3 linked regions of the Alligator mississippiensis genome follow. The protein of the gene in region 1 purifies or fractionates together with the protein of each later gene. This does not show direct contact. Links are inferred from orthologs where the notes say so. Each region holds a gene or a part of one and is shown in the gene's direction. Other genes may lie near its edges. The genes, in order: SLC38A9, LAMTOR2 and LAMTOR4.

The links.
Region 2: the proteins of SLC38A9 (region 1) and LAMTOR2 purify together in Homo sapiens (co-immunoprecipitation; 5 studies listed by BioGRID and IntAct, with this or other methods). This does not show direct contact. The link is inferred for Alligator mississippiensis from reciprocal best matches to the Homo sapiens genes SLC38A9 and LAMTOR2.
Region 3: the proteins of SLC38A9 (region 1) and LAMTOR4 purify together in Homo sapiens (affinity purification with mass spectrometry; 4 studies listed by BioGRID and IntAct, with this or other methods). This does not show direct contact. The link is inferred for Alligator mississippiensis from reciprocal best matches to the Homo sapiens genes SLC38A9 and LAMTOR4.

Annotation. Positions count from the first base shown.
Region 1 is NC_081826.1:268,407,489-268,415,471, forward strand, and holds the start of SLC38A9 (neutral amino acid transporter 9), read left to right. Parts: upstream 1-4,885; 5' UTR 4,886-4,973; intron 4,974-7,983.
Region 2 is NC_081838.1:17,228,252-17,235,802, forward strand, and holds the start of LAMTOR2 (ragulator complex protein LAMTOR2), read left to right. Parts: upstream 1-4,533; 5' UTR 4,534-4,616; coding exon 4,617-4,618; intron 4,619-5,352; coding exon 5,353-5,445; intron 5,446-6,788; coding exon 6,789-6,951; intron 6,952-7,551. Other genes in the region: UBQLN4 (ubiquilin-4), read right to left, coding at 86-297, 3,018-3,169, 3,849-3,980. UniProt on the Homo sapiens protein: As part of the Ragulator complex it is involved in amino acid sensing and activation of mTORC1, a signaling complex promoting cell growth in response to growth factors, energy levels, and amino acids.
Region 3 is NC_081838.1:23,516,331-23,523,745, reverse strand, and holds the start of LAMTOR4 (ragulator complex protein LAMTOR4), read left to right. Parts: upstream 1-4,389; 5' UTR 4,390-4,431; coding exon 4,432-4,473; exon of another isoform or gene 4,474-4,503; intron 4,504-5,043; exon of another isoform or gene 5,044-5,309; intron 5,310-7,415. Other genes in the region: MBLAC1 (metallo-beta-lactamase domain-containing protein 1), read left to right, coding at 1,509-1,574, 1,771-1,955, 2,087-2,276, 2,390-2,404. UniProt on the Homo sapiens protein: As part of the Ragulator complex it is involved in amino acid sensing and activation of mTORC1, a signaling complex promoting cell growth in response to growth factors, energy levels, and amino acids.

The DNA of each region.
Region 1 (7,983 bases):
TTATTCGACCTGAAGGGATGTGGGCAGTGGGATCCCCCAGGGCTCAGTCCTTGGGCCTGCACTGTTCAACATCTTCTTGGACGAGGGGGTAAAAAGCACCCTGTTCAAATTTGCAGATGACACTAAGATGTGGGGGGAAGTGGGCACACTAGAAGGGAGGAATGGGCTACAATCAGACCTAGACAGGTTACAGGGGTGGGCAGATGAGAACAGGATGGGTTTCAACACTGACAAGTGCACGGTGCTGCACCTGGGGAGGAAGAACCAGCAGCATACCTACAGGCTGGGGAACTCCCTTCTCATCAGTGCAGAGGCAGAAAAGGATCTTGGAGTCATTATTGATGCCAAAACGAACATGGGCCAACAGTGTGGGGACGGGGCAGGAAGGCCAACCACACCTTGTCATGCATCCACAGATGCATCTCATGCAGGTCCAAGGAGGTGATCCTCCCCCTCTATGCGACACTGGCCAGGCTGCAGTTGGAGTACTGCGTCCGGTTCTGGGTGCCGCACTTCAGGAGGGATGTGGACAACATGGAAAGGGTCCAGAGGAGGGCCACCCGCATCATCAGGGGGCAGCAGGGCAGGCCCTATGAGGAGAGGCTAAGGGACCTGAATCTGTTCAGCCTCCACAAGAGAAGGCTGAGGGGGGACCTAGTGGCCATTTACAAACTAGTCAGAGGGGACCAGCAGGCATTGGGGGAGTCCCTGTTCCCCCGAGCACTACCAGGAGTGACTAGAAATAATGGTCACAAGCTGGCAGAGGGTAGATTCAGACTAGACATCAGGAAGCGCTACTTCACTGTAAGGGCGGCTAGGATCTGGAACCAACTTCCAAGAGAAGTGGTGCTGGCTCCTACCCTGGGGGTCTTTAAGAGGAGGCTAGATGAACACCTTGCCCCGGTCGTTTGACCCCAGTACTCTTTCTTGCCATGGCAGGGGGTTGGACTTGATGATCTAGTCAGGTCCCTTCTGATCCTACAAACTATGAAACAATAATTGAAGGGTAGGACATACAGGAGAGGTAACTAAGACTGGGGGGTGGGGGGAAGACTATAAATCTAATAAATAAAGAGAAAGTATATATAAGTGATTTGCATTGAACATCATTTTGTAACTTTCTGCTCAAGTAAAAGATAATTGTTATATGTGCAGACTTTCTCTTCGTATCATTGTATACATAAAAGAAATTGGATGGAACTGCCTGAACTGCTGCTATGTTTCTTTTAAAACATAACAAGAGCTTCTGTCACTTCTTACAACGACTTTGGGTGCATAATAAATTATTTTTGGTTATCTCCTATATGTTTACTATCATTTGATGCTTGATTGTTCAAAGAAAGTAACAGCATAGCTGCAGACCAGTTTTAGTGACCATTATTTGCACTTCATCTCATAACATTTGTATCTCTTGCTCTATGGAAATTAATCAATTTGATTTATTATAGAAAAGCCCTACGTTAAAAAATATTAAGGCTTCAAGGTAAAAGATTCAAAAGTTAGAAAATGCCAGAATTTGATTTTCCAGCTCCTACTCCAAAGAAAAAAAAAATGTCTTCACATCGACAGCCCATGCAGCTATCACCCCAACTCTCCAACCTCCTCTTTTGGGGAAGGCAATTGAATGAGTGGGTCACCCGGCAGTTCCAGGTCTCTCTGAATTCTATCACACACCTGAACCGTGGTCAGTCTGGCTTTTGTCCTGGGTACAGTAAGGAGATGGTGCTTATCAGCTCAGTCCAACAATCTTCACCTGGAGATGGACAGGGGAAATTGTTCCTTTTTGATCTTATTAGATCTTTCAGCAGCTTTTGATATAATTGATCGAGACCTACTCAAATCATGATTTCATGGAAATTGCAAAATTAAGCAATCTCTGTGAAATTCCGCATACCCCCCAAAAAAAAACCTTCCTAAAAATAAAGTGCTGGCAGTTCTCCTGGCTGCACAGCCCACCACAAATAGGGCTGCCAGCATGAAAATAAGAGGGCAAGATGGCTGCCACCCCCCCACCCCCCGCCGCAAGATGGACAACCCTGTCCACCAATCGGGGCGGGGGGGGGCCACTGGGGCCCCTCAGTCAGAGGTGTGGGGGGCCCCCACCATGATAAGCTCATGGAAATAGCTGCAGGGCTCACAACCTGCCTGCAAAATTGGCCAGTGATAATGCATTTGCATGATCTGGTATATACTTGTGAGATCGCTTTGAATTAGTTCCACTCTTTCCTGGCAGGGAGGGCCCAGAGAGTGGTGATAGGCGAGTGTTTGTCATCCCATCAGGACCTCTCATGTGGGGTCTCCCAGGGTTTTGTGCTGTCACAGCTCCCGTTCAATACGAATCTGAGACCGTTGGGCAAGACTGTGAGTAGATGTAGAAATGCCATCAGCCTGATGATGGCATCCAGCTCTTATCTTGCATTTTCATTCAACCCAATGCTCTCTACATGGGGCTGTCCTTGAGGACCGTCCAGAAGCTGAGTCAAAATGCAGTGTCCCTAAAGTCACCTGAGAGCAACCTCCTGCAAATGCCATGGGTGTGTCAAGTTTGGTGGAATCAAATAGGAGGTGGTTCTAGGTAATCGCCCCTCAGCTCTGGAGCCCTCCCCTTAAAGCCCAAGATAGCCTCAGGCTGGAGATCTTCCAAAAGCATTGCAAGACCTTTCCATTTCAGGCCTTCAGCAGGTGGGGTTAAGTCTGGGGGCACTGCCTGGATAGGATGTTCGACTAAGTTATTTTATTTTATATTTTCATCTATTTCATATATTTTATTTTATTATTTATGTTTTGTTTTTACTGTAAGCCACCCTGAGCCTCTTTTGGGGAGGGCAGCATATAAATCTTATCTAATCTAAATTGATAAAAACTTTGATTCAGGTCTCTTGAGGGTATGAATTATAATACAATTTTTACTGACATAGTCTCACAGCATCTCCACTCCTTTACTGCCATGATGCTTATTTAATGACTACCTATCCAGTATATTGTTTGAGCATTATTGTTCAAGTGTGACCCAACATCTTATTTACAGCACACTATATGAAGTCTGCTTTTGAAGGACAGAATTATTAATTTCCTAGGGCATTCATTACTACAATATCTGACTGCTCCATAAACATGAATGAACTTAACACCCCTTTGAGGTTAAGGGTACTAATGCCTGCAACTGACAAATGGGAAGATGAGACGGGGGAAATTAAGACTAATTTTAGATATCTAACAGGAAAATGCCCAATACCTAATATTTCAGAATGCTTAAAATATGTAACACTTTGTATGTTTTAAATGATTCACCAAACATCGGACAAAAGCTAACAGAATCAGAAATATAAGCCAGTTCTCCAAGGCATCTTTCAACTGCCTTCTTAGGCTGTTCTTTCTTCTCCTGAAGTCCCTTGCTCCATGCTTTGTACCAGGAGAGACAATCCTATGGCCCACAATATGGCTCCAGAACCAGCTCATCTGACCTGTAGGGTTTGTAGAAAGGCCAGGAATTTGGGAGTGGGACCTGCAGAGATGAGGCTCACTGATGATATGCATGGCACAAGTCCCGTTGGGAATGTGTGTTGGGCACGGGGCATGGGGACAGCCGCTGCAGGAACCTCCACAGCTGCCACTGCTGCTCACCCTGCTGCTGCCGCTTCTGCTGCCACATCTAGATTCAGCCTGCAAGGAGCCCTGCAGTTTGGATCCAGCCCAGGGGCTGAGATGAGTCAACACCCCTAGTCTACACAACTTGAAACTTCTGCAATTAATAAGGCAGAGGTCCTACAGACAACAGTCTTATTTACCACTGAAAATGGATCTGTAGATAGATACACAGATAGACTTTGTTTTTACAGCTGCTCATTCAACAAAATTCACCAGTACAATATTGGCATTAAAAAGTATACCATGCGATTCCAAGTCACACTTTCCCCACTGATTTCACTGATTTATTCAGTGAGTTTCTCCTCTTCATGGAAAGTGCCAGTCCCAGGGAGGAACTAACAGGCTTCCATCGTGTATTGTGCTCTACATGTTTGTCTACGTAGGGAGAGAGTCCAGAATAACCGCTCTGTCATAGCTCCAAGTATGGCCACACAACAATCGGTTCTACAGACCAGGGTAGAGACCCACTTCTCTCCGCACCAGCGCTCCTCAACCTTTCTTCACCCCTCCATAACTTCTGTGAATGGAGTGACACCCAATTTAAAAACTAATTTAGATATCACAGTACTTACCTCCTTGCAGAAGGGCCAAGCAATGGCAGTGGAGGATGGATCAAGCAGGGACATGCCTGAGCTTATCTGCTCACTCCCAGGGGCACCCTTCAAAGGATCAGCTGGGCCCCGGCTGAGAAGCACTGCCTTACACACATGCACTGACTGCTCTAGCTGGTGACTGGGTCTGGCGGAGGCGTGGGGGGTCAGGAGCAGTCTTCCTGCAGGGGCACAGCCTAATTTACCCCGCTTCTTGGGCCCCCCCTTGGCAGCATTTCTCAACCCGTGGGCCGAGAAGAATCAGTGGCAAGGAAAGCAGTGGCTGAAGTGGGGGCGCACAAATGCCATCTTTATTACGGCGGGGGGCAAACCCCCGAGGCTGGGGGAGGCTGCCCTATACCTATGGGCACGGGGGCGAGCCAGGGAGTGAATTCACAGTGAATTCCCGGTGCGCGCTCACCCGCGCCAGGCAGGCCGGGCCCCAGGGACGGGGGGCAACCCGGGGTGGGGAGGCAGCCCCGTCCGGTCACCGCGCCGCCCGCCCGCCTGCCTGCACAGCTCCCCCCGGTCCCTACCCCTGAGGCTCAGCACCGCCGCGAGCCGGGCCCGCCGCTCCCCGGCCAGGCCCGGCCTCCCCGCGCATCGCGGCGAGCGACCCGCCCCCGCCCCCGCCCCCGCCGGGGCGCGCTGGGAGCTGTAGTCCGCGCCCGCGCCGGCCCGGCAACTTCCCGCGGCCCCCGCGCCCTTCCTGTTTTCGGCCGGCGCCGGAGCCAGGTAGAGCCGCGCTCGGGTGCGGGCCCCAGCGGGGATCCGGGCACAGCCCCTGGGGCAGCTGCAGCGGGGTCGCGGGGAGGGGGTCGGGCCGCCCTGCCAGCCGGCCGGCCCCTGGGGGCGCCCGGTTCGGGCCCTCGTTGGACCCCCGCCCCCGGCTCGGGGCGATCCCGGGTCGTTTTCATGCGAGCGGCCTTTTGTTCCAGGTGAAGTGGGAGCCCTTGGGCTCCCCGGCCCTCGGGACGGGCCCCGGGGACACGCTGGCTTCTCCCTTTCTTAATCCGCGCAGTGGAGGTTACTTCAGGGAGGAGGAAGGACACCTGCTTTCCAGGCGGTAGATAATATTGCCAGGTTGTACTTCTCCTAAGGCTGCACCCCAGAGAGTTTCAGGGCTGTGTTATCTGGGGTCAGTGTAAACATCTCAGCCTGCTCTAGACGGGGCTGGCAGCTACCTGTGCTCCCTCCCCCCAACACTGCAGCTTGCAAGTCTGCCATGCAGCCCCCATGCCCAGAGCCTGCCCCCTCCCTGCTTCGTACCCTGCCGCTGAATCTGCAGGCGCATCAGGTCTCTGCCACTGGCTGTCTTGTGTTAGCTGCAGTGCAATGCAGGGCTAGGACAGACAACCAGCTGACAGAGGCTGTAGTGGGAGTCAGCAGCCACCAGGCTTTCATGCATCTCTGGTTCCTCACTGAAGGGGACCAGTAAGTCCAACAGAGACTCCCATGCTTTCTGTATGTACAGCTACTCCTCACTTCATGTCCCAGTTATGTTCTTGAAAAATGTGACTTTAAGCAAAATGATGTTAAGCGAATCCAACTACATCACAGCAGTTACCTACTAGCAGGCAGCGGCCAAAGTGTTATAACCGAACATTGCACAACCTTTAAATGAGTGTGTTCTCTAATAGATCAGTGATGTAATAATGAAACAATGTTATCCCTAATGATGTTAAGTGAGGAGTACCTGTACCTGTCAGGAGATTTCCTTCACTTGGGAAAGGTCTGTCAGCAAAGCCACGTAGTATAGGTAGGCCAAAGCTTATACGTCCACACTTCAAGCCACTTTATTACAAAATTCTGTCTTTCTGCTAGCTGACCAAAAATGATTTCTATTGCTGCCTGGCAGCAGGTATGTGTAGACATGCCTACAGCTTCTGCCAGCTCCTATGGTTCCTTCAGCAGTTGGTGCCTCCCATATACTTCACACCTGGCCAGTACAACAGCTGTAGTAGAGCCACCAGAAGCACATCACTACAAAAATTTTGTAGCAGCTTCCTTCTGACAGCTGCTATTAGCAAAATTTATGGCACAGACACAACCTAGGCAGACAAGATATAAGAGTTCTGGTAGAAAGATGGAGTCTAAACTCACCAAAGAGCTTTGGGTGCAGAAACACTCAATGTTTTGCTGGTAGAATATGGTAGTAAGGATGAGAGAACGTAGATACATAGAACTAACAGACTGGTGCATGTTTTGTCTGACCACTGGGGAGAAGGCCAAAGTGTGCTTGAACTGGGTTTAAACTTGTGTAGTAAACTATTTATACACTGTTATAGAGCAAGGATTCTTAATCTGGAGGGCCTCTATGTGCAGCAGCTATTAAGAACATTATGTGTGTTTTGTGATCAGGAGAGGGAGCCTACCAAGGAGATGGTGTGAAGTAATATATGGTATGATCTGTATTACATGGCTTTGCTGCTCCATGAATATTCAACGCTCTGGTTGAGTAGGCACAGTGTACAGGATAGTCATTGTAGGAGGGTACCTTGTTTGTTTGAAAAGGGGAGGAGTAATGGACCCTATGGACATGTGAAACAGGGCTTTGTATTTTGGGGTCTGGAGTACCTGTGATTATCTGACAGGTTATGGTGACATTAATAGTATTTGAATTGGTGAGATCTTTCCATAGCAGTTGTTAGAGGTGCAGCCCCCAAAGTCTAGAGCTAAAGAACAGACAAGGGATTTGATGCACCCATGATTAGGCAGGCAATATAACTCCTATTGTTTAAATAGGAGTTTTAAATAGCAGGGATTGTTTCAAGGCAAAGTGTTAATTTGAATAATTCACAGGTACTTAATGTGGGACATTGAGTTTAGTTGTCTGTAAGGTCTGGATTTGATGCACCTCAAAATGCTCTAATGCAATCAAACTTGTGTTTGTTAGTGTTTAGCCTGAGTGTTCCAGCCACTTTTAAAAGAGAAGCCACACAATTGTAGCATAGTTTGGTTTCTACTCATAGCCCATCACCCCATGTTGAGAGAGGGGTGGAAAAAGGATCCTGCTCTTCAAGTAAATATTTTATCATTAAGTAAAAAGAGTAGTGACCCCATTCTTCTGTGTTATATTGATTGCTACAGAGCTATTTATTTGGTTCATAGTGCACTGTTCTTTTCAGGACAATTTCAGAGGACCTGCCTTTTATCTTAATGCTTCTGTTTTGAATGTGGGCCATAAAACTTTAGAGTGATACTTTCAAAAGCACTTTGTTTTGGCCTTATTATTTTTCCTTACTGTATCGTCTAGTATGAGCTGAGAAGAGACCCATAAGGAAGGAATGAAAGCTCCAGGAGGGGAGGATGTTGCTGTGTGAGTGGCAGAGGAGAAAAAGAATAATTTTTGAAGGAAAAGCCAGTTTACCAACCATTGAAGGGAGAGAAGAGTATCTACATCAAGGATGTGAAACCAAAGCAGCTGTGGATGAGTGGTGCTGGGCTGGTCTGCAGGCCTGATTGGGCCCATGGACATGTACACACACACCTTGACCCTCTTTCCCCTTCCCTAGCATACCTGATTTGGCTGCCACTCTAGGTCCCTTACAGTGGCTGTTCCAGGATCTGGGCTGCACAGCATGGATGCCATGTGTAGCAGTTTGGTGGGAGCAGTGGCCGCCCCAGTTGGACTGCACTACAAGCAGTACCTGCCCCAATTGTGCTGTACATGACACCTGCTCCAGCTAGTCCAGAAGCCACACTGCACATGGCACCTGTGAGCGTTGTGTGCAATGTGGGTCCT
Region 2 (7,551 bases), on another chromosome or scaffold:
CTATCAGGACAAGCACTTTCAGCTGGGAAAAAGAGGGATGCATAGGCTGAACTATACGGGCAGAGAAACCAACCACATCACTCACAGAGGATGGATGCAGGGTTGCTGGGTGCTCCATTTCCAGCACCCCCCGTGGTCCCCGACCCACTGCTCCGCCGGCTGCCACCTCCCCCATCGGAGCCGGCGCTGCTGGACGTGGAAGGCTGAGATGGGGCAGCAGGAGAGGCGGGTGTTGCAGCAGGGGTGGAGGCAGCAGCAGAAGTAGCAGAGGCAGCAGCAGCTGAAGGATCTGGAACCCTAAAGAGAGAAGAGACAGTCACCGCTGCGGCAGGGAAACTCACACAGCCGGTTCCCTTCTGCAGTTCAAGAAAAGAAGCTGGGAGTGACCACCTCCGGTCAAGGGGGATGTAGAGCCATCACATCCAAAACAACCTGCTCTCACCCAAGGCAATGAGAAGAGAAGCGATGTTGGTATATACTTAACTCAGTCAACGCACCTCAGAGAAGACTGGTCCCTAAGCAGGCACTGACTTTTGTGTTATATATCAAAAAAGCAACTAGTTGGTTACCAGCATTCTTGACCCATTTGACTGCACCATGTATAACAGGCTTTTACACCACATATAACAGAGATGGGCTTTCCTCTGTGGCTGCAGGGAACAGGACTAGGAACAATGGCCTTAAGCTGCAACAGGGCAAGTTAGGCTGGAGATGAGGAGGAATTTTTTGACTTGGAGGGTGGTCAAGCACTGGAACAGGCACCTAGAGAGGTGGGGGAGTCTCCATCCCTGGGAATGTTTAAGGGCAAGTTGGACAGACACTGGGCTGGGATGGCTGAGTCTTGCTGGGGTTATTTGACCCCAGTGGTCTTTCCTGCCAAGAACAGGAGGACTGGACCCAATGATCTCACGAGGTCCCTTCCAGCCCTAAACTTCTGTGAATATGAGTCAGGGCTGATCCTGCCTTGAGCAGGGGGCTTGACTAGATGACCGTATAAGGTCCCTTCCAGCTTGACTTTCTCATGTTCTTTTCTCTTCAACCAACAGGGCATATTATAAGTAGAAATGGGAGAGAAGCAAGGCCCTGATGCTGCAGAAACTTGCACCCAAGCTTAGTCAGATCCATGAGCAAGCTTGTTAAGGTTAAGAGGACACACCCACACTGGCAGGGTGAGAAGCCATTTGCTACCACAGCTGTTCTAGCTTTGCTAGTTTCCCTTCCTCATTTCTCTCTCTCACACAGCAATGGGAGGGAAAGGACACTTTAAAACCCAAAAGCAGTTAAAGTCCCAATCCCCAATGGGAAGGTGGGCATGAGCCCTGGAACTACCAGCAACTCATCTGAAAAAGGGGGCTACAGTGCATATCAATGCCATTATGAATGTGGAACCATCAGGTGGTTTGCAAATGATGCCCCCTTCCCATAAACTGGCCATTCAACCACAAAGAAGGGTTAATACCTTCCTTGCCCGCTCGGCAAGAGAACCTGCTGCCCCCAGTACCTGAACAGACTGCAGGGAGGTAGCTCCTTGCACTGAGCAGAAAGGAAGGCTGACTGCCTTTCTAAAAGGAGAGACAAAAACCTTATGGGAAAGCTGTGAGTGCGGGGGGAAAGCAATGAGACTGGGAAAGGAGAATCTGCAGAGGTGGCCCTTAAAGGGGTTGAAACTGCAGATGGGCAGTGTCTTGGAAAGAAATCACAGCTGGCCAGCTGCTTTGAAAGCCTTTCTCCCCTTGCAGCCTGCCGAGATCTCTCTGCCATCCACCTCCATTCGCTCAGCCTCCCCTCCAAAAGCAGCTGAAATAGAGCATGCCTAGCCAGCTGCTGTGAGATGCTTGCCCTAGGAAAAATACTTCAGAATAACTACCCAGGGAGCAGGCTTGCGGCTACCGGGAGCACAGAAATTGTTGGATGAGGATTTTTTTGCCTCCATGGAACTTTCCATGGCAATTTTTAATCCCAAGCATTTTACAAACTAATTTCGCTGCTACCACAGCAGCGGCTGCAGTCAGGGAGACTGGGGAGAAGCCAAGCAGATGGGAAATAGGAAGTTTAATAAAGAAAAAAAAAGAAGAAAGATCAGGGTCACTTGGACTCTCTCAGCACAGGAAGGAAAGGCTGCGATGCACACATGCTGGTGACCATTAGAAAGACAAAAATGAATGATGGGCCAGTTTTTAGTTTACCCCAGGAGACAGTTTGCAAGTGCTGAAGTTTATCGCGGAGACAGCGGGAAGCAGCATGGCATCAGCACGCTCCGTGCACAGGTACTGTTCTGTACAAAAGCCTCCAACAGTAGCTGACAATTCGTGTGGCTTCAGAAAAGAGGTACTGATTTTTAATAAGCCAGGGAGGAGGCGCTCCTGGTGGGGGACAACACAGCTTCAAAAGGAGCGTGAGCCTGTTTAATGACGCCCACTGCTCAGATGGAAAGACGAGTCCCAGGAATGGTGGGAAAGGGCCGTTAGGAACAAGGAGGCCTGCTTGCATCTGTAACGCGGCAACGGCACCAGGAATCATTAGACAACTATAACTTAAGAGTCACCCAGCAGCAGCTTTCCAGTATGTTGATCTACACCCCATGTCTCTGGTCTGCCTGAAAGGTTACCCCCAAAAACGTCGTTACGTGCTCTTGATAATACCCTACACTCACTGAACGCCTCTTGCTGAAAGATCTCCCAGCGCACAGGACGGCCGGACCCCGCAGCCACGGGGACCCTGGAGCGCAAGGTTTTGGCTTCACATGGCTGTGAGCAAGTGAAATAATCTCCATATCCGCCCTGTCACCCGGAGAAATCCCTGCTTTAATAGGTTCTTACACGCAACAACTAATACTCGTAAGATTTCAAAGCACGTCAACTCTGCAAAGCTTTATGAAACCCAGGAGCCCGGGAGCCAAGACCCAATTAGAGCAAAGTCCCGCAGCCCCCCGAATTTGAACTCGTACGCTTGACGGCCAGGAACTCACAAACACGCGGCGTCATTTCCTAAAACCCCGGGAAAGGACGATTTCTTACTTCTGTGGGGTCTTAATCACCAAGTGCACAGTCAGTCCATCTTTGATCCCGTGTTGGCTCAACGTGTCTCCATCCTTCAGGATCTTCCCCGCAAAGATCAGAACCAGCTGATCCTGTTTGGCTTTAAACCGCCTGGAGATTTCTTCTTTGAACTAGGGACAAAGACAAAAGGAGGCAATTCTCAGGCCGAGGCGCTTTCCAGTCTGCCCGAGAGGCTACAGGAGCGCTGGGAACAAGCCTTCGCGCGGTCCGAAGGACACCGGGCAGCATCCCCGGGGCCGAGCTGGTTTCTGAGGTGGTTCAGGGGGCGACGGTGCATCCTTCGCCCGTTCGGCTCGTGCAGGCGAGCTTTGCAAGAGCAGAGCGCAACGGCCTTAACGTGAAAAGCAGCTACGCCGAGGATTACGGGCCCCGTTTACACCGGATCATCGCCGCTGGCCGGCACCGCAGAAAGCATGCCGGAGCGAAGCAGGCGGCCCCGTTTCTGGCTCCGACTCCCACGAGGACGCTCGGGTTTTGAGCCGACGGCCTCGCGGCGCCGCGGGAGGACCATCCCGTCCGCGGGAGGCTGCCCCGGCTCGGCACGTCCGCCCGTGAAGACGCGGCTCCGAGGACAGGCCCGGCTCCGCCTCGTCCACACGCGCCCGCCTGGCCATGCGCCGCTCGCCCCCGCGCCCCCCCGGCCCGAGCCCCGCGTCCTGGCTCGGCGCCCCCGCCCCCAACCCGGCCACGGCCTGCTCGCGGGGCGACCCCCCCGCCCGGGGCAAAACCTCCCGCGCGGCCCTGGCCCTACCCCCGCCCCCGCCTCAGGGCCCCGGGCCCAGGCCGCACCTCGCGCACGGAGGCGCCGTCGCCGATGACGATCTCCTCCTTGTCCTTGGGGGTCTTCACCGTGACGCGGATCAGCGCCGCACCCGGCCCCGGCTCCGCGCCCTCCGCGCCGGGCCCGCTCGGCTCCGCCATCTTGGCCGCCCGCCCCGGCCCGGCCCGGCCCCGCCCCCCGCCCAGGAGAGCGGCCCCCGGCGGCGCGGGGGGGGGCGCGGGGAGCTCGGCGCCCCCTGGCGGCGCGGCGGGGAACTGCGGGCGAGGGGAGGTGGAGTGGAGGGGCTTGGTGGGGAGACTGAGGCTGTGCATGCCCCTTGCGGGGGGAACTGAGACACACTGTGTGTGTGCATGGGGGTATGCATGCATCTGGGTGGGGAAACTGAGGCACGCTGTGTGCAGGGGGTATGCATGCCCCTGGGGGGAGAGGCGTGCTGGATGTGGGGAAGGGTATGCATGGCCCTTGGTGACTGTCTTGAGCTCCATGAGCCCCCCTCCCCTCTCAATCCTCGCAACTCTGCTCCGTAAGTGACACAGGGGAAACTGAGGCACGGAGAAGCTGCTCTGAAAAAGGGGCTAGCTTCTGGGTAGCCAGGGGCTGATTGTCCCTAAGGGCTGCCAGCTGGAGAGCTCACACCCACCCACCGCCCCTTCCCCAGGCTCAAGGCGGTTGCAAAGGAGCTGTAAAATGCTGCAGCCAGGCCGGAGGGAAGCTGACCTGGATGTGGGGATTAATCAGAGCATTCATTTCTCTGTTTTCACATCACCAGCTCCCAAATGTAAGTAGCGGTGGGGTGCGAAGGGGGTTGATCTCATGGCTGTTTGGGAGCGTCTGTGCTGGAGATGCAGCCGTGTTGTGCCTGCCATGGGGTTAAAGCAGGATTTTGGTCTTGTTAAGATAGAAATATATATTTCAGTGTATGTGTGCCTATCTATCTATCTTGCTCCTGACCCTCAGCCCCTGCCCACCCCCAGGCCATGCTGGTGCCTCTCACTCCCAACCCGCAGCCCCCTAGCGCTGCCTCCAATTGCCCTTCGCCTGCTCCTCCCAGCCCCAAACAGCTCCTTGCTGGGAAGTGCCAAGGGGGAAAAAAAAAATGATGCTGAGTAGAGCAAAATCCCAGATATTTGTTCATATTTTTAAAAAACTGCCTGGACAGAGGACCCAAAACGAGGACGTGTCTGGGAAAACCCGGACATATGGTAACTCTAAGCAATGTTTCTGCTTTTTAAAAAGGGAAACTGAACTGAGCTGGCAGGGCTGGGGGGTGGACAGCAAGATCTTTGTGTGGGCCATGTGCCTAGCTCCTGTCCTGGAGGTTGCCTGCAGCTGCCTTGCAAGCCTGAGTTGCTGGCAGGGCCATGCAATGCCTGCGCCTGTCGCATGTGGGCCTGACTCGGCAGAAGCCAGGCCAGGACTACAGCTCCCAGGCTGCTCCGGGCGCCCAGGGGCCATCAGCTGATGGGGAAGCAGAGCTCAGAGCTGTCTGCCTTCCTCTCCTCCCTGCTGCAGGGCCAAGAGCCGTGCGGTGGTGACCATGCTGCGCCCCAAAGCCCTCACCCAGGTGCTGAGCCAGGCCAACACCGGGGGGGTCCAGAGCACCCTGTGAGTATGGGGGAGTCGGGGGGTGGCTGGATGAAAGGGGTCTCCAAAGCCTGGGGCACAGCTCAGTACCTCTGAGCCTCCTTCCTCTGTACTCTTCCTAATTCAGGATAGAAACAGGCACCACTTGGTTTCCATCCCTGCCAGGAGCCATATAATGCAGCCTAGTGTGCCGTAAAAAGCAGTAATCCAGCCTAGCCCCTAAATCCTGTCTTCTCCCTGCCCAGGGGGGCTGGGGCACTAGCTTGCAGGACTAGCTGCATTGATGTGCCTGTGCATGGTTTGCTGAAGTGCAACCAGGCTCGTTCCAGCTCTGCCCGTTCTTGCATGCATTGACGTGAGACACTGCTAAGGGCACAGGCAGACAAGTTTCTTTAGGTAAATTTGATTTATTGATTGATTTTTATTATTCAACCAGTTAAATGCTTGGAAAAAATTTGTTTTTGCAAGCTTTTGGGTATAAACACCCTTCTTCAGAAGCTCGCAAAGAACAATTTTTCCAACTATTTCGTTGGCCAAATAAAAGATAACACGTTTACCCAAAGAACCTTGTCTGCCTATGTCCTTAGACCGACACGGCTACAACCAACAGCCTTAAAGCTAAGGGCATAGGAATCTTTTCCCACCTCCCCAGTTGCACCCCAGAGCCAAAGATGCCTTGGCTTCCTTGCATTTCAAGGTTGCTGCAACAGGCAGGAAGAAAACATACCATCAGGGGCGCGGGTCCTGGAGCTGGTGAGGTTGCCTGGAGCTGGGTAGATGCCGATCTTCTTTATGGCTAAGAGCCCCAGCTGGACAAAGCCTCAGCTGGGATGATGTAGTTGGGGCTGGTCCTGCTTTCAGCAGGGACATGGACCAGATGTAACCTCCTGAGGTCCCTTCCCACCCTCTTTTTTTTTATAATGTAAACCCCAAGGCTTCTGTAGCTTTTATGTAGGATGCCTGCCTGGATTTGGGGAGCTTCTGAAGCCCCAGACCGATAGGTCCAGGAAGGAGGACACTTGCCCAGTGGTAGAGTCACGCAGACTTGACAATTGAGCTTTGCTCAGTTGAATCTTGATACTTGATTATTGGGCTTTCACGATTGAATTTGGAAAGGATTCGGCCTTGAATAATAATAATAAGACGGTGATCTTCTTTCACACATGGGGTGATGCACTTACAGCTGAAGGTATAACCTGCCTGGGTGGTATTGTGTTAAAGGGAGGGGAGGGTGCTGGTTACTTCCCTCTTGGGGTGGAGGGGTCACACTTGGGATACTTGTGACTTTGGAGAGGCTGCGTGGGACCCTGGGGGCTGTGCATATGGGGGTTCAAGTCTGTCTCCTCCCTGCATCTCCTTTCCAGGCTTCTGAACAACGAGGGCTCGCTGCTGGCATATTCTGGTTACGGAGACACAGACGCCAGGGTCACAGCTGCCATCGCCAGCAACATCTGGGTGGCCTATGACAAGAATGGGCACCAGGCTTTCAATGAAGACAATTTGAAGTTCATCCTGATGGACTGCATGGTACCTGGGTTGGGGGTGGGGGTGTCGGTGGACTCCTGGCAGGAAGGTGGGATAAACCCAGGCAGCTTGAACATGAGATCCTGGCACCCAGTGGGTGGCTTCTTCCTGCCTTGGTTTCTCCCATCTGTAAAATGGGTCTGGTATGTGCCTTGTTGTGGGGACCAGTGAGCTTTATTCAAGTGTTTTGAGATCTCCCTGATGGAAATGCTAATTGTTGGGAAGTAGAACATCAAAACAGGGGAGCACTTTGCACCTGCCACTTGGAGTAAAGGGTGTGGGTGTGTAAACATCAGCTAAAACAAGGCCCAGGCTTACAAGTGTGACCTGACTTTGGCATAGCGTAAAGGACTGCATACAGGCAGTAGCAGCATCGAGCACTCTTCATCCGTAGACCTCAAACCACTTGACAGGCCAGCCTCAGTCTTGCAGATTGAGGGGAAACTGAGGCACAGAAAGGGGAAGGGCCTGGTTGGGCTGCTTTGCAGGCCCTTCTCAAAACAGGAGTAAAATCTGAGTCGAGGGCCCTTAACCCCTCTGCCACGCTATCTTCCCAACGACTCCTTGGTATCTTGATGAGGGAGAGCAGGGCCTCGAGATGCC
Region 3 (7,415 bases), on another chromosome or scaffold:
GGGGGGGGTGCCAAAGAGCCTGGGGGGGCAGAGGGGTGATGGCAGAAGGACCCAGGCATCTGGGCCCCCAGCCCCTCTGCTCTCACCCCCCAGGTGTCTGAGCGGCAAATAAACACCATAGAATTGAGCTGTTCTGCCTCTCTTGGGGGGGGGGGGGGGGAGGGCTGCGGTGCAGCACTGAGGTGGGGGAGGGCTGTGGTCGGCAGCAGGGTCTCTGTGAGGGTACTGAGGGGAGGGGGTGGGTGGCGATGGGAGGGTCCCTCCCAGGCTGGGAATGGAGGAGCCAGAGTGGGGAGAGAACCCAGGCATCCGGGGCTGCTTCGGTGCCAAAAGGGCTGGGGGCCTCCAGGACTCCTGAGGGGGTTGGGGTTGACCTAGGGACACAGACACAAGCATGATAGTGAGGGCTAGGCCACACGCATGTGTCCTGGACCTGTGGGGCCCACATGTGTGTCTGTGCCACCAGGTTGGGGCATGTCCTGGACGCCTGCGTTCTGCATGTGCAGATAGCACCCCCCCACCCCCTGGGCCTGGGGGCAGGGTTCAAGGGGCTGCTCCACCCTGTAACCAGGACCTGAGCAGACCCAGATGCCTGGGTTCCACAGGAAACCCCTGGTCCCTGCCCCAATCGATCGAGCCAAGGCCTTGATGGCAGGTCACAGCTCAAGGCCACAGCACCTGGAGCTCCTAGACCCCGGACTCCTGGGTTCTCTGGGGTGGGAGGGGCTGAGGAGTGAGAGCAGGGGGCTGGAGACCTGGATGCCTGGGCTCTCTGGGAGCAGCTGGTGGGGGGGGTGCCCAGGCCCCAGCCCCTGGGTTGTCTGTGGGTGCCTCCTCCCTACCTGTTCCCCCTGGTCCACAAGTTGAACCCAGGGCTGTAGGGCAAAGGTGGCATTTATGGGGCCTTAGCCCTGAGAACAGAAAAGCTTGTTAAATAATCAGTGTCATAACTTGTGTTGTCTACCCCCCTTGCACCCCCCGCCAATCAGGAACCCAGGTATGTGGGGTCCCAGCCCCTGCCCCCCCAGGTATCTAGGCCCCTCTACTCTCACCCTCCAACCCCTCCCCTCCCACAGAACCCAGGCATCTGAGCCTGGGGGAGCCTCCCTTCATAGCCCCCCGCCCCCGCAGTTGCTATCTTGCCCGTGGGGCAAACTCCAGGAGCAGCCACACCCGCCCCCAACCTATATATTCCGCAGCCCCAGCAGGCCCCGCAGCCACCATGTGCCCCGGGGCCTGTTCGCGGGTGTTGGGAGCCGCGCTCTGTCCCCTGGCTGTACTCTGCGCCATCTGCAATGTGCTGCTCTTCTTCCCCAACTGGGAGACCCAGTTTGTGCATGGCGGTGGCGCCCACCTCACCCCGGAGGTGATGTACATGGGTGGCCTTGTTGGCGGCGGCCTGTTGGTACGAGGGACGCTGGGCAGATGGGGAGGGACTGGGAGCTAAGCCAGGGGATGCGGGGTGCAGGCCAGACCAGGGTCTTTGCCCTTCTCTCTTCTCCTTCCAGATTGTGATCACCGCCATCCACTTCCAGGCAGCTGGGCATCGGGGCTGCTGCGGGAACCGCTGCGGGGTGAGAGACCCCTGCCCTAAATCAAGGGGCTGGGGTTTGGGTGTGAGGGGCACCAGCAGGGTGGGGGAGGGGCTGCAGGTCAGGAGTGAGGGATACTGGGGGCGCAGGGGCTGCAGGGCAGGAGTGAGGGGCACCGGATGGCTTGATCCTGATCCTGCCCCCACCCCTGGCTAACAGCCCTCCCCTGCCCCTGCAGATGTTCCTGTCCATGCTGATGGCGGTGCTGGGCATAGGGGGTGCGATCTATGCCATGACGGTGTCGGGGCTGGCACTGGTCCGCGGGCCCCTGTGCCAGTATCTCCTGCCCGAAGGCAACCTCTCAGATTGGGGACGGCCCTTCCAGGGCCCACCCTGGAAGTCCGACGATGATGATGACTTCAGGTTGGGGGGGCGAGGGTTGGGAGTGAGGGGCACCGGTGGGGGGGCTGGAGAGGCAGGGGATGCGGGTCAAGAGTGAGGGGCACTGGCTGGGCTTTGGGGGCCAATCCAGGGTGACCCCCTACCCCCCGCAGGAAGTCGAGCTACCTGTTCCACCCGGAACTCTGGGGGAAATGCCACAACCCGCCGGACGTGGTGAAGTTCAACATCATTCTTTTCTCACTGATCCTGGGGGGAGCCGTGCTGGAGCTGCTGCTCTGCACTGTGCAGTTCTTCAACAGCTGTGCTGGCTGCATCTGTGGCCCCCGGCTCCGCAAGCGCCCTGTGAGTGCCTCTTATTCCCAGCAGGCCCCACCCCAGAGCCAGCCACCCTGCAGGGCTGGCCGCGGGCTGTGACAGGGACAGATGGGGACTCACCTCCTTCCTTTCTCTTTCAGGCGACGCAGCACTGAGGTGCACTGGAGCCGCACCCCCAGCTCCAGACCCACATGGGTACCCAGGCATCCAGGGTCACCCTAAGCACCATGGACCCAGGACGACTTTGGGAAGGGAGTACGGGGAGGGGGTCCTGCTGTACCTTGCTTGTGGCTCCAATAAAGCCCAGGACAGGGCCAAGGGTCGTGTGGTGCCTGTGGAGAACGAGGGGGGATTGATGGGGGGTGGGAAGGAAGCTGTGACCTACCCGCTCCCTGACTGGAGCCCCTCACTCCCATCCCGCAGCTGTGCCAGCCCAAGTGGTGCCCCTGACCACCGACCCCCCAGCCCTGCAAATGCCCCTTACTCCCAACCCGCAACCCCCAGCTCAACAAGTGCCCCTCACTCCTGCCCCGCAGCCCCACCTCCATCCCCACCCCCACCAGTGCCCCTCACTCCAGACCTGCAGCCCCACCTCTCCTGCAGCGGGGGGGAGGGGGTGGGCAGGAAGTCACAGCTCAGCTGTTGGCCTGGCTGTGCTGTGTGGCTGTGGCAGTCCTGTCGCCCGCTCTGCCCCGAGCCATTGGCGGGGGGTCACAGAGCTTGGAGCCCCCCGAGGCGGGTAGGTGACTGCGGGGGGAAGTTGGTGGGGGGCATCCCGGACACCTGGGTTCTGTGTGTGCTGTGGGAGAGCAGGGAGCTGCCTCTCTGGGTCCTGTTCAACCCCCACAACTCACCTCCATGGAGCTGGGCTGGGGCAGATGTGGGGGTATCAAGGCTGGAGAAGGGGGCAGTGCCCTAGTGGGACCTGAGCTGAGACCTGAAGGACTCGTTCCATGTACACTTGGGGGATATCAGAGCTACAAGTACCCCCACCAGCTACTGGAATCTCTGGAGAGGGAAGGCCCCTGCCCTGCCCCCCCATGCAGTGCCCCCCAGGACACCTGGATCGGGGCCTGGCAGGGACTGCCCCCCCCCCGCCCCTCCCCCACTGTACAGATCTGGTGACAGGAACTCTTTATCAGCCCCACTCAGCAGTAACGACGGCGGCCTGTGGTGGCCTGTGGCTACAGGAAGGGAACCCAGGCATTTGGGTGCCCAGCCCCCCCTGCTCTCACCCCTCAGCCACTGCTGTCCTAGAGAACCCAGGCATCTGGGCTTCCCACTCTGATGTGCAAGACTCCACTTCTTCCCCTTTGAAACTGGAACTAAAGGATAGGAGCTGGGTCCTCTCCCTGCTGTCTAAGAGGGGATAAGGGATGGCTGTGAGAGAAGTGGGGGCTGGGAGCCCAGACGCCTGGGTTCTGCAAGGGGCTGGGCTTAGAACAAAGCCTGGGAGCCCAAACACCTACAGCTGGATTTAAGACAAGGCCTCGCTTCCACACAACCCCAATTATATTGCCGAGGGGCAAGGCACACACCTCAGCTGCCTCTTCCTGGGTGGGGGCTATAAAGGGGCGGCCCTGGGGGCAGGAAAGACTCATTAAAGGTAGAAGTTTTGACCTGGGACCAGTAGGTTACTGGGAGAACTGGGAAGGGGGCTGTGGGTTGGGAGCAAGGGGCACTGGCAGGGCTGGGGGGGCAGTCCAGGGGGGTCCCCATTGTCTCGAATCCCCCCCCCCCACTCCAGGCCCCGCGATGGCTGCAGATCCTGAAGACAGCTCCGTGCCGCTGTTGCGGGACCCTGAGGATTCCCCTGTGACCCTTGCCCTGACCTGTAAGTGCCCCCTGTCCCCCCTGGCTGACCCCTGCCCCAGGCTCCTCCTGACCCTGTGTCTCTTCCAGGCCTGGGGAAGCTGGTGCTGTCGGCGCTCCCGGTCGCCTGTGTTGCGGTTGGTGAGTCCAAACCCCTCAATGGGGCAGTGCAGATCCCCCCTTCTGCCCCCTCACTGACCCCACGCTCCCCCAGGGGCTGTGTACCTGCGGCAGTGTCCCTGCCAGCCCCTGGTGCCCGTTTACCTGCTGGGCATGGGGGTCGTGGCCCTGCTGAGCCTGATGCTGACCTGCCTGCCCTGTGGCGATGGGGCTGAGCCGCCCCCAGTGAAGCCTGGAGTCTGGGGCTGCCATGCGCTCTTCCTCCTCTTCCTCTTCGCCTGGTTCATCGCTGGTGAGTCACAGGCCCAGATGCCTGAGTCCACTGGGGAGAGAGGGAGTGGGATGTTTTGACCTTTGATCTCTCAGTGGCAGCCCTCTCATAGGGCTGCTTGTATACCAGGCCCCTCTAGCTTGCATTTCCCACCTCTCCAGCAGTGACCTCTGACCTCTTGTGGCCTTCCCTGACCCGTTACCTGCATCTTCCTAGCTAGCTGTGACCCCTCAAAGTCCCCCCTAGCAATAACTTCTGATCCTTTCTAGACCCCCATCTCAATGTTCTAGCTAGCTGTGACCCCCTTGATTTCCCCCCTAGCAGTAACCCCTGACCCCTTCCTGACCTCCAGAGCTGGGTATGACCCCGTCGCACTTCCCAGTTCCTATCTAGTTGTGACCCCTTGAAATTCTCTCTAGAAATGACCCCTTCCCAGTTGGGTGTGACCCCTGACTCCCCACCTACATCTTCCCAGCTAGCTGTGACTTTGTGAACTGCCCCCAGCAGTGACCTCTGGCCCCACCCCAGGCAGCCTGACTCTGCCCCTGCATGACCACTGACCCTTGCCCTCCCATGACCTCTACCCCACAGGCAACGTGTGGGTATACTCCATCTACCCACCGGAGTACGTAGCCATTGGGAACCCACACTTTTGCCACCGTGGCCTCTACCTCTTTGCCTTCTGGCTGACCACGGGTGCCTACATCGCGCTGGGCCTGGCGCTGCTGCTGGCCCTTGGAGCCACTGCCTGCCTCCTGCTGCTGCGCACTCGCCTGCCCTGGGCCCGCCACGCCGACTACCCCTAGGGGGTCAGGGATTGCTGGTCACTGTGTGCAGAAAATGGGACCAATAAATCAGTAAGAAGCCTAGGCCTCTGAGGCAGTATCCCCTAGGGCTCCCATGCGTTTGCCCACACTCCCATGATCCCCTGGGGTAGCAGCCCCCCTCGTCAACCTAACAAAACCCTGTTAAAGGGTGTCTGCAGGTCCCCCTGCACCCGGGTCTGGGGGAGGCAGGGTCCCGAGTATGTACCAGTGGCATCCACGTCCACGATAATCCCCTGCAGTGCCACAGGGGCTGGGACCGCGGCAGGTGGCAGGGAAGGAGAAGAGGGGTGAGAGGTGCCTGAGGGCAAAGAGCCCCCAGCCCAGTGCTGCTCTAGGAGGTCTTGGGGGTCCTAGTGCAGCTTGCACAGGCTATGTACTGAGGGCCAAATCTGGCAACACGACACAGCCATGGGGCTCCCATTCTGGTGGCACCACAGGGCAGCAGGGCCTCGCTGCAGGGGGCACCGGCCACCTGCCTAGAGGACAACTCCGCCTCCAGCACTGCTTCCAGGGCCATGGGGCTGGGGTGCCTGTGACGGTTAGTGCCCATGGGCCCTGCTGCATCCTGCAGGAGACAATGGGGGTCACAGGGTTGCTGGGCACTGGGACCCTCCAAGCACCAAAGGCCAAGGAAACCCAGGCATCCAGTCTGCCAGCTCTCACCCCTGCAGCCTCCCCTCACCCCCTCCCACACAGCTCAGGTTTCCGGGCTCCCAGACACTCATCCCCCAGCCACCACTCCCTGGCCAGGAGACCCCTGGCCCCAGGAGTCTGGGTGACAAAACCTGGCAGTTTCCCATAACTCGGGCACTGTGGATAGGATCTGACACAGGCGCCACCCTTGTTAAGAGGAGCTGTGGCAGGCAGGGTTGTCCCTCGGGGAGGGCGAATCGGGGTGACCACCCTGGGTCCCGCGCTTTGGGGGGCCCCGCAGAGCTGGGTGGAGCAGTGGTGGCGTAGAGTCGGGCGGAGTGGTGGCTCCGTGTCCAGTCATTTGCTATCCCCTGCTGCTGCTGTAGCTTCTGCTGGGCCTGGGCCAGAGTGGGGGTGGGTCCCTGCATGGGCTGATTTCCCGTGGGCCCCACACCCTGTTTGGGTCGCCTCTGGTGGCAGGATGTGCCGGGCCAGGCTGGGCTGGACTTTCCTATTCCACTTTTTCCCACTCCCTCGTGCACACGCAGCCCTCTGTCTCGTGGCACGTCGACCTCTCCATACGACACGACACTGTTCTGCAGCACCTCCAGCAGCAATGCGCTTTTTGTAGAAAACACTGGGTAAATCGAGACTCCCTGATGAGAGATTTCAATCCCAAATTAAATCATAATTTCAATGGATTTGATCAAATCCATCCTGCCGGTGCAGGGGACAACACAAGCACCTGGGACCCTTCACGCATGGGGAGAGAACCTAGGCATCTGGGCCCCCCACAGACCCCATACCCCTTCCCCCCACAGGCTGATGGCCAGACGCCGGTGTCTGCGCTGCCAGGCTGTGCCCCTGCCTGCGTACGCCCTGTGGCTGCACCACTTGTCAGTGACGTTTTCGGCTGCACCTAACAAAAATAGTCGATGATGTTAATCTTCCTTGTAGCGGTGCCGATGAGGCACAGCCGATGCCCTTGCACAGCTCGAGCCCCTTTCCCAGGCCTGGGAGGGGGTCTGCGGCTGGGTTCCCGCGGGTTGGAACAGGAGAGCGGGGGGGAGGAGTGAAAGTCCCCCGGCTGCGCTCCCATGATGCCCTGGGGCTCCTGTGCCCTTAGCTGCACTCCCAGAATGCCCTGGGGCAGGAGTCCTACTTACCCACACTCCCATCATCCCCAGAGGCAGGAAGCTGCCTTGGCTGCATTCCTGTGATTTAGCTGCATTCCCATGATGCCCCGAGACAGGAGCCCCCCTTGCTTGCACTCCCATGATCCTCTGCGGCAGGAGCCCCCTTGCCCGTACTCCCATGATGCCCTGCAGCTGAAGCCCCCTTACTCGCACTTCCAAGATACCCCAGGACAGGAGCCCCCCCCCAGCTCCTTGCCTGCCCTCCCGTGATGCCCTGCGGCAGGAGCTCCCATGCCCGCACTCCCGTGATCCTCTACGGCAGGAGCCCCCTTGCCCGCACTCCCATGATGCCCCGCGGCCGAGCCCT